Linked DNA regions of Rattus norvegicus. The protein of the gene in region 1 interacts with the protein of each later gene in a biochemical or structural test. Links are inferred from orthologs where the notes say so. Each region holds a gene or a part of one and is shown in the gene's direction. Other genes may lie near its edges.

Region 1 (4,726 bases):
CTAATTTTGTTGGGTGTGCTCTTGGTTCCTCTCTTAGCTATGCTCTTGGCCTCTTGTTTTTTCTCCCTCTCCTGGTTCTCTCTCTCTCTCTCTCTCTCTCTCTCTCTCTCTCTCTCTCTCTCTATTCCTCTCTTCTCTTGGTCCTCTCATGACTCAACCTATTCTGTTATCGGTCTTCAGTCTGTATGCTCTCCCTCACAACTCCAACAAAATCCTTCTCATTAACCTTGGAGCAGTCATGTCCTCATCTTCTTCAATGAGAAATTAAGGCAAAACCCTAACATTCCTTATTGTCTCAGGCAAAATTCAAAAAGGAACATGAACAAGCATCTAATGTAGAATCTTTCTTCCTACAGCCTGATGTTAGGCCCTCTGAGATTCCGGTGAAGAGATGCTGTGATGGAAGGCAGCATGGAGGTTAAGACTGAACTCAGGTTTGGGGAGAAGGCTGAGCGTTAGGATAAAGTGCTTTTGGAGTAGGGGAGGACCTCAGTCAGGATACCTGGCACCCGTGACTTCAGCAGCAGGTATTTGTAATCTCAGTGCTATAGAGGTGGAGACAGAAGGATTCCCCGGAAATTGCTAACCAGCAAAGTCTAGGAGATGAACTTAAGGTTCAGTGAGAGATCGAGTCTTGAAAAATAAGGTGGACAAATGATCGAGGAAGACGTCTTCTTATCTTCTGGCTCAAACACACAAGTATCTCCTCATATACAGACGGAACCTAGGGCAAATTTTATTCTCAGAATACTTTAATAATGAAACAATACTGGAAAAAAGACTATGAAAGATATAGATTGTATGGGCTGAGAGATAGTCCAGTGGTTAAGAACACTGGCTGCTCTTTTAGGATACCCAAATTCGATTCCCAGCACCCATATGGAAGCTCACAACTATCTGTAACTCCAGTTCAAGAGGATCTGGCAGGGCTGGAGGAATGGCTCAGCGGTTAAGAACACTGACTGCTCTTCCAGAGGTCCTGAGTTCAATTCCCAGCAACCACATGGTGTAATGGGATCTGATGCCCTCTTCTGGTGTGTCTGAAGACAGCTACAGTATACTCATAAAAATACATCTTAAAAAAAAGAGGATCTGCTAGCAAGCGCAAGGCCCTGGGTTCGGTCCCCAGCTCCGAAAAAAAGGAAAAAAAAAAAAAAAAAAAAAAAAAGAGGATCTGGCACAGACCTGCAGGCAGAACACCAATGCTCATAAAAAAAAAAGCCTTAAAAAGATATTAATTGTGCTTATAAGTGAAAATAACGAACCATAAAGCTAAAACATGTATAATTATGATTCACTTTCAAAACTCGTGTGCCTGCAAAGTTCGGGATCGAAGAGAATCCGAATTCAGAACCAGCTTTTGGCTATTGGCTTTCCATTAAAGCCACGTGGTCAACTGACATGGCTTTGTGGAAACAGGGTGAGCCGGCTAGCTTGTCTTCAGCCAAAATGGCGGTGCTCGTCCCGTGCGCGCGCGCACGTCCTGGGGAAGGGCGCCGGGGACGCGACTGGGCGCGGGCGCGGCCTCCCGGCGGCTGCGCGCCTGCGCGAGGGCGGGCTGCAGGCGGGCACGCGCGCGGCGGGGGCGGGCTCAGCAGAGTGCGGAGCTGCAGCCTGGGAGCAGGACGTGTCCGCGAAGATGGCGGGCCGGGTGAGTGGCGGCTGGGTAACCCGGGCTCACAGCGGATCGCCCGGGTCGGGACAGCTGCGAGGTCCACGCGGGCTCCGGGGAAGGGGCGCGAGGCTGAGCACCCAGAGACGCTGAAGGAAGGGAGGTCAGAGCAAGGCTGGAGGCGAGGCAGGGCAACTGCGGCAGGGGATTAGCTCTGCTCAGAAACTCTGTCCTCCCCGAGGGTTGTCTCTTCGTCCCCCGGGTCTCTCGTGCCTCCCTTGCCATTCCTGGGGCTCGTTTCTCTCGTCCTCCAAGCACCTTGAGGGTAGTGGCCACTGGAGCCCCTTCTGACGAGCGCTGAGTGCCCTCCGCACTCCTCCGAGGGTTTCTGAGGTGGCACTGCCGGATAACCGCGGGGTGTAGTCTGCTGCAGTCAGGGCGAGGGTGTGGGAACCCATTTCTCGTTCTTCCTAAATGAACGACGTTATGAAAAGAGGAGTGGGGGCTGCAAATTACTTTTACAGCCAACCTCAGACCATCCCCTGGGGAGAAACCTATCAACTGTCGAGTGAAGCAGCAGCAATGTCTTTCGTGCAGATGGTTTTGGGGTGTCACGTTTTGTTTTTCTAAATGACAGTCGCTTCGAATGCAGCAGGCTGTGTTGTAGCTTCAGGGATTTACATTTTACTTCCTCCTTAAGCTTGTAGGACCGTGGTGTAAGATTGGGGTTGATGAGGAGAGATGGGGCCAGGTCACTGCTGTTACTGCAATATGCATCAGAGCTAAGAGCTCTGATGGATGGATCCTGCCCAGAGATTAAACTGTTTGAAACCTGGGGACGTTAACTGCGTCATTACAGACTAACGATGTGCTTGACTGATTTACTTCACCTGAATATTTTAATAAGTTTGCATACATGTATGCATATATGCAAATGTCCTGTCTAAAGAGAATTGTAGGTCATGCGATTCTAGAGTCCCAAAGAGACCTTAGAGGTCACAGGTCTGGGTTCATCTCTTTCTCTTTCTTTTCTCATAACCCCCCATTTTTCTCAGGCTGGCCCTTCTAACTGTATTTTAGGGACTATTTTTGCCTCCTCAGGAGCCCCTCTTCTGAATCATCAGCCCTTCTGGAATGCATTGGTCCCTTAAACCCTTCCTCTGCCCCCACAGATGTCACTTTTCCTCTTCCCATTTTAGAGTGACAAATTCTGGTGCTTTTCTGCGTGTGTTGTCTCTCATTTGTTTACCATCTGCTCCCTCCTTGACCCACCACAGTGAGACTGAAACGCATCCCTAAAATGAATGCCCATTTTTTTCGATCCTTGTTATACTTGATGTCTCAGAGCATCTGACATTGTTGCCTGTCTCCTCCTTAATGGAAGACATTGGTCCATGGCTTCTGTGATGCCTCGATACTGTTTTGACTCATCTCGCTTGCAGACTCACCCCTCCACCCTGTCATTCAATTCCCACACTCTGTTTTATCTCCTCAGGTAATCCCTTCTGAGCCAAAGCTCAGTCCGCATGCCTGAGGTTCTCAAGATTTCACCCCTCCTCTACAGAACTGCCCTCTAAATTCCAAATTGATGTGTAAAAGTGGCTATTTGAAATCAAGAACAAGGATGAATACCCGTCTTTAACCCCTGGTAGAGGCAGAGGTTGAGGCAGAGGCAGGAGGATCTCTGACAATTTGAGGCCAGACTGACCCACATAGTGAGTTCCAAGACAGCCAGGAGTACATAGACACTGACTCAAATTAAATAAATAAATAAATACTAATTGAAGACTATTTGAACTCTAGTTTAAACTCAAAGCTGTGATCTAAGCCTACCTACCTGGTAATTTTTCTGTTTTCCTTTCACTGAATGGCATCCTCACCTGACGGGTATGGGGTATGTGTATGGGGGCAGGGGTACACGCATAACCACATGTGGCAGTCAAAGGACAACATTGAGTTAATATTTGCCACGCACCCTGCTTGAGACAGGGTTTCTTTTGTTGTTTGCCCCTGCCTATGCCAAGCTAGCTGGCTTTCCAGCTTCCGTGGAGTCTCTTGACTCAGGATTACAGACGTGAACCATCCTACCTGCTTTCCACTGGTTCCAGAAGCCTTTCCCATCCCTACTGTCTGTCCCTCTTGCCACATCCCCGTGCTCCATCCCCTGTACAAGTCATCACTATCTTCCTACCTGCACACTAAAGAAAATGAAGGATTTAATCAGGGCCCAGAGAAGGTAGGCTTGGGAGCATTGCTGCTTTAAGCCGTCCTCGATACTGGAATCAGTCGCAGCTGTTGCTGTAACCTTCTCCCCCATCAGCTAACCATTCTGCGTCCTCCTCTCCATCCCCTTTTCTCTTTCTGGTCTGGATAACTGCAGGAAGTTTCCAAGTAGCCTCCTTTTGGCATTCTGTCCCTCTTCCACCCTCCACACTGGTTATTCTTCCCAAGTCCCTTACTGCTTAAACCGGTCCTCTGGTTAGTGTTGGGAGCAAGATCAGATACTTAACAAGGCGTTCAAGGCTCTTTGTGGTTTTGTTCTGTTTCTCTCCGCTCACTTTCACTGTCTGCTCAGGTTATATAAGCCTTTCGATGCCTCGAAGCTTTGGTTGTTTCTCTTTCCACAAGGTCTTTTGCTGGGCTCTTTCTTTTCTTTCTCCTACTCAGAGAAGGCTTGGGAAGCCTTTTCTGATCTCTAGCTGTAAGTCGGGATACTTTGTTATTCTGCCCTGAAGACCTGTGTCCCTCTCTCACAGCTTTATCTTTTTTCTTATTGTAACTATGTTAGTATGCTGTATCCTGTGTGTTGGCACATGCCTGGAATGCCAGGACTTGGGAGACAGAGGCAGGAGGATCACTATATGTTTGAGGCCAGTCCAGTGTACTTACTGAGTTCTAGGCCGGCCTGAGCTATAGAATAAGACCCTGTCTCAAAAATGAAGCGTTAGTGTTATCTTTTACGTCCACTTTATGAGACCATGTAGATACTTGTGCTAGATGTTAACTCATTTCCTCTGCTTTATGCATTCACTTGTGTTTGTGCATCAGTTTGGTAGAGATTTAAGAAGAATCGTCAAGGGTGATACATTTTAGAAAAAAAAATTTGTTCCTGAA
Region 2 (4,904 bases), on another chromosome or scaffold:
TCAGGTCAGAGACATCTATACGAACCCCAACTTGCAAGAGCCATGCCTTGCCTCCTGTGTTCCAGGGCCCCATCCCAGCACTACAGAAAGGGTCTCAACATCTCAGCTAAAGCTTGAAGGCAGCAGGGGTGGGGGTTGATTTTGGAGCTGTTGAGACATCCTGTTTGAGGGAAATGAGGGGTACAGGGCAGCCCAGGAACCAGAATGGCTCTCTTCCTTCCTACCTGAACATTTTTTCCCAATGTGTGTAGTGGGTAAATGAGGAAATGCACTTTTCTTGGTGGGCATTCCCAGTGACATGAGCATTGCTTTGCAGTGAGCATTCCACTGCTCTACCCTGAAGGACCCAACTCCATGAGTGGAAGCAGCTGGCCTTATGGGTTGAGGGTATATAGTCATCTATTGCTGCACAGCTCATTGTTCCAAAAAGATGAGACCATGCAGCAAATGGAAGGGGAACCATAACTGCTTGTGGCCCTCCAGACTCACCAGCTCCGGGGTCAGAGCACAGTCGGGAGCACAGGTATATTTGGGAAAGTGCTCAATGGGAAGGAGGTGGGGGTGGGGAGATGTCTTTTGCCTTTTCCTGACCCCCAACACTCAACTCACATAACACTTTCCTCAAATGTTCTCTGCTAATCAGTAAACTTCAGTAAAGAAGAAATACAGATTCTTGCACCACAGCACACTGTTGGGACTGAAATCGCTGTGCACAGGGCCTTAGAATAACGAGATTTACAGAAAACTAGCATAGTACCAAAAGTTCTCACATAGCCAGTTTCTCTTATAGTAAGATGTTGCTCTTACTATAGTGTAGTGTATTTACTACAGCTACTGAACCACTATCAATAACTGCCCATGCTTTATTTAGACTTTTTTTTCACTAATTTTTAACAATGTTTAATGTGTAGGCCAGGGGTTGATGTCGGGAGTCTTCTTCAGTTGTTCTGCATCTTATTTTTTGAAACCAGGTCTCTTTCTGACCCTGGAGCTCATTGATTCTGCCAGACTTGCTGGCCAGCAAGCTCCAGGCATATGCCTGTCTCCCACTCACCCATTCCTGTTACAGCTACACGCTGACACACCCAGCTTTTTACATGGGTCTGGGTATCCAGTGCCATTCTGTGTGTGGCACTGCAAAATATTCTAAACGCGTTGTGTGCGTAGGTTAGAGAACAGTTTGGAGGAGTCAGTTCTCAGCCTCCACCATGTGGGTCCCTGGAATCGAACTATAGTTGTTAAACTTGCCTTTAGCAGCTGAGCCATCCAGCTAGAAATGGAGAACTTCTGGACTCCGCAAGCCAATTCTAGAGACGATCGCCAGAGGGAGTTAGAAGGTTCTTTTTTACTACAAAGCTGTTACTCCCAAGTGACTAAGACGTAAAGTGAACCAGGAGGTGGAACTAAACTGCTGGGTCTGTCAAACCTCGAGAACGAACCTTGAGGCGTCACGTGAGCGCCGAGAAACTGGTCAGCTGATCAGTGCTTCCCAGTTCCGCCGAGGCGTGGCGGAACAGATCTATGGAGCCTGCTGATTGGTTGGAAGGAGTCAAAGGTCGCGTTTTGTGGGGGGTGGGGGAGAAATTGGCACTTGGCGGTGCGAGCTTATGATTGGCTTACTTGGTGTCACGTGGCAGTGCGCTCTAGGGTTCTAGGAGGCTAGCAGCGTCAGACCTCGGGCGTGTGCTCACGTGTTGCGGGTCAAGGTGCGGAGTGCGGTAGCCGGAGGGGCGTGCCGGGACGAGAGTGCTTCGCAGCTTGAACCCTCTGGTTGGCTCTCACGGTTCACGTGGGATAGCAGACCCGGGTGACGTCAACGTAGCGGGCGGAGCTCCGCTGAGTGCGCGTTGTCCCGGGCCTGTGAGTCGTAGCTTGGCTGTGTCGGGCCTGAACCGAGCAGCTGCGCGACGTCATGGACACCTCCGGGAAGCAGGCTGAGGCTATGGCGCTGCTGGCTGAAGCGGAGCGCAAGGTGAAGAACTCGCAGTCCTTCTTCTCCGGCCTCTTTGGGTGAGCAGCGGGCGAGGTTGGGCCCAAGGCGGGGAAGAGCGGGCTCTTCTGCTCTCTGCACTTTGGGAGCCCCTCTGCGGCCTTGCAGGTTCTGAGGGTGGCCCTGTGGCTGACGGCCCTGTGGCTGAATGGTAGCCGCGCCTTTCCCAGGCCGGTAACCGTGGATCTGTGCGGCCCAGGCTGCCGGGGTGAGGACACCAGACCGAGGGCACCCGGGCTGGGGCGACCCTGGGCATGATGAGCCGGAGTACGAGGTGTGAGGGTAGTGGCTTCCTGCTGAGAGTGACTGATGGCAAGTAACTAAGGAGACCTGGACTGAGAGGTGGAAACTTGGGGGTTGGGGGGGGCAGCCATAAACAGACAGTGACACTGGTTTGGTCAAGGAAATGGCTATGGGAGGATGAGGCAACCAGGAGAATCAGAGTAGGGTAGAGGTCCTCAAGTCTGGGGTCTGAACACACCCAGGAGGTGGCAGGTACCTCACACAAAGTTTATGCAAGTTCGACATCTTCAGCCATATTAACTTGGGAGCAGAAGAACCCATGCTTGGGATGTAGTTCCGAGGTTTCTTTATTTTAGGGGAGTACGTTTCCCTGAAAGGGCTCATTGGTAAAAACTAACTGACTGCAGAAGTTTGTTGTGAGTATGAACTATGTATAATGTGCTCAGAATTGAGCCCTCTGAAAGGCTTACCAGCCAGGAAGAAGCAGAGTCAGAGAGTGTAAGATGCTGGTGGGGAGACCAAGATGGTAGGACAGGAGAGCTTGAGGAGCTCTGAGGAGAGGGCCAGCTGTTTACCACTTCCCACCACTGATAGAGCAGAGCCTTGGGGTGTAGGAAGGGTAAGGGGAGACGACACTGCATGGGAGCAGGCAAGACTCCTGAGGGAACAAGCAGAGAGGAGCACTGGGGAAAGGTCCAAGCAGGTGTCGAGGAAGAGCTGTGCTCAGGGTAGGACACAAAATCAAGCCTCCGAAACAAGGATTGAAGAAGACAGAAGACTCCTAGGAAGTTGGGGGAAGGCTGGGAGAAAAGCCCTGGGTTCTGGGAGAGACTGTTAGGAGCTGGGTGAGGACAGAAAGACATGAAGTGGGGGAGAGGATGAGGCTACCCTTTTGTTGTTTGACATTAGATAATGTTTATCAAAGGAACTTGAAAAATGTTTGTACCTGCTGCTGAGACATCTGGCTAGTGACAGGCTGTGTCAGTTAGATGAAAATGTTTCATTTGAGAGAGAGAGAGAGAGAGAGAGAGAGAGAGAGAGAGAGAGAGAGAGTGTGTGTGTGTGTGTGTGTGTGTGTGTGTGTGTATAGAGGCATGGTAGTGGGATGGCACCTCCAACTCAGTTTTCATCAGTAGTTTTCCTGATGGCTCAGAGTCTGGTCTCTTTGGCCCAGAGAGATAAGTGTATACTTGGCTGCTCCAAGGGAGCAGCTGTGTGTCCCTGTTTACCACTTCCCAACCACTGATAGAGCAGAACTGTGGGGTGTAAAGGCCAGTTTATCACACACACAAAGTTCTCGAGCTGAAAAGAAACTTTGAGAACTTGAGGGAGGTTTTTGGTGAGGAGTGAGGCTGAGAACAGTGGTCTGGGAGGGCAGTCTAGGCTGCAGGGATGGTGGGAATGAAGCTCGCTCTGGTGCAAAAGAGCTTCTGCCCAGAATGTAGAGGACAGGGACAGAGATGGCTTCCTAGAGGATGAGCCTCCATCCCAGGGCTGAGCAGGAGATCTCAGGTCTCTCAGTTGGAGAGCAGCAGAAAGGACAAGCTTGAGAAAGGGCCCAGAAGCCTGCCTGCTGAAGGAAGGGTTAGCATAGGCAGAATTCCAAGTCAGACTGTGACTTGAAAAGGGGGGAGCAGAGGCTGGACATAGATGAGGACTGTGAGTATGGGCTTGGAGTTGAGGTACTGGGGAGCCTGCAGGATTTTAGTGAGGGCCTGTTAAAATGACTTCCTCTTTTACCCTTTAGAAAAAAAACAAAACCCACAACAGCTGGTTGTGGGACAGTATGTGGGACCCTGTTACAGTGATAGTGGATCATGCCTGCCAGTTGTTCACGCTACTGCCCAGCCTTGCCTGGCCAGGCAGTCAGCCTTATGTAGTCCCCACAAGATCACTGTGGAGGTGGGTAAAAGATAAAGGGAGCAGTCTAAACTTGATTCATTTGTCTAGCAGCACAGGAAGCTGAGGAGGCACCAGGTGGTCAGACCTGGCCCATGTAGGCTTATAGTCCCCCCTCCATTAGTCTGATACCTCTGACACCCAGAGAGTCCCAGACACTCAGGCCTGCTTGTGGGCACTACATGTAGGGAGGGTGTTGGCAGACTAGTTTGGGGTGCTACCTCCCTTAGGCTGCTGCCTGCCCCCACAGTAGTTTTCTACAAACATTTGAAGGAGCAGGTGCATTTCTTCTGGTCCTTCCAGGAAGAATAGAGGAGGTAGGGAAGTGAGCAAGGCCCACTGGAACTCAGGGTCCTTGGAGGTACCCTGAGATAACCTGGAGAGAAACCACCACCAGGTGGGCCCTGCTCTGGCCCACCACTGGGGCTGCCTGGTAAACATTTGACAAGCAGCCTTTCCCCAGCTGCTCACCAAGGCTTCTTCTGCTCTATGGAATGTCTGTGTTAAGGGCTTGCCAAGTTAAGAGGCCTCTGCTCAGGTTACACGGGTCAAGTAGGCTATTCTCACCCATCTTCACACTTCTGGATTTGTGGGCTGGTAGACACTAGGGGGCTTTAAGGCACCATTTAGTTTAAGGTCAAAGCCTTTTTAGCCCTTCCCTTGCTGGTGGGCATACCTGCCTGAGAGTTTGGATACCCGTTACCTCCTCTTGTTCCTCTGCTGTGCACCATAGGGACTGAATTGGTCCTGAAGGGCAGTTCTGTTCTGTAGG

What was found.
Region 2: the proteins of Nsf (region 1) and Napa form a complex in vitro, tested with the Homo sapiens proteins (2 studies listed by BioGRID). The link is inferred for Rattus norvegicus from reciprocal best matches to the Homo sapiens genes NSF and NAPA.

Annotation. Positions count from the first base shown.
Region 1 is NC_086028.1:89,354,251-89,358,976, reverse strand, and holds the start of Nsf (vesicle-fusing ATPase), read left to right. Parts: upstream 1-1,593; 5' UTR 1,594-1,639; coding exon 1,640-1,651; intron 1,652-4,726.
Region 2 is NC_086019.1:85,913,568-85,918,471, forward strand, and holds the start of Napa (alpha-soluble NSF attachment protein), read left to right. Parts: upstream 1-1,867; 5' UTR 1,868-1,912; coding exon 1,913-2,010; intron 2,011-4,904. UniProt on the Homo sapiens protein: Required for vesicular transport between the endoplasmic reticulum and the Golgi apparatus. Together with GNA12 promotes CDH5 localization to plasma membrane.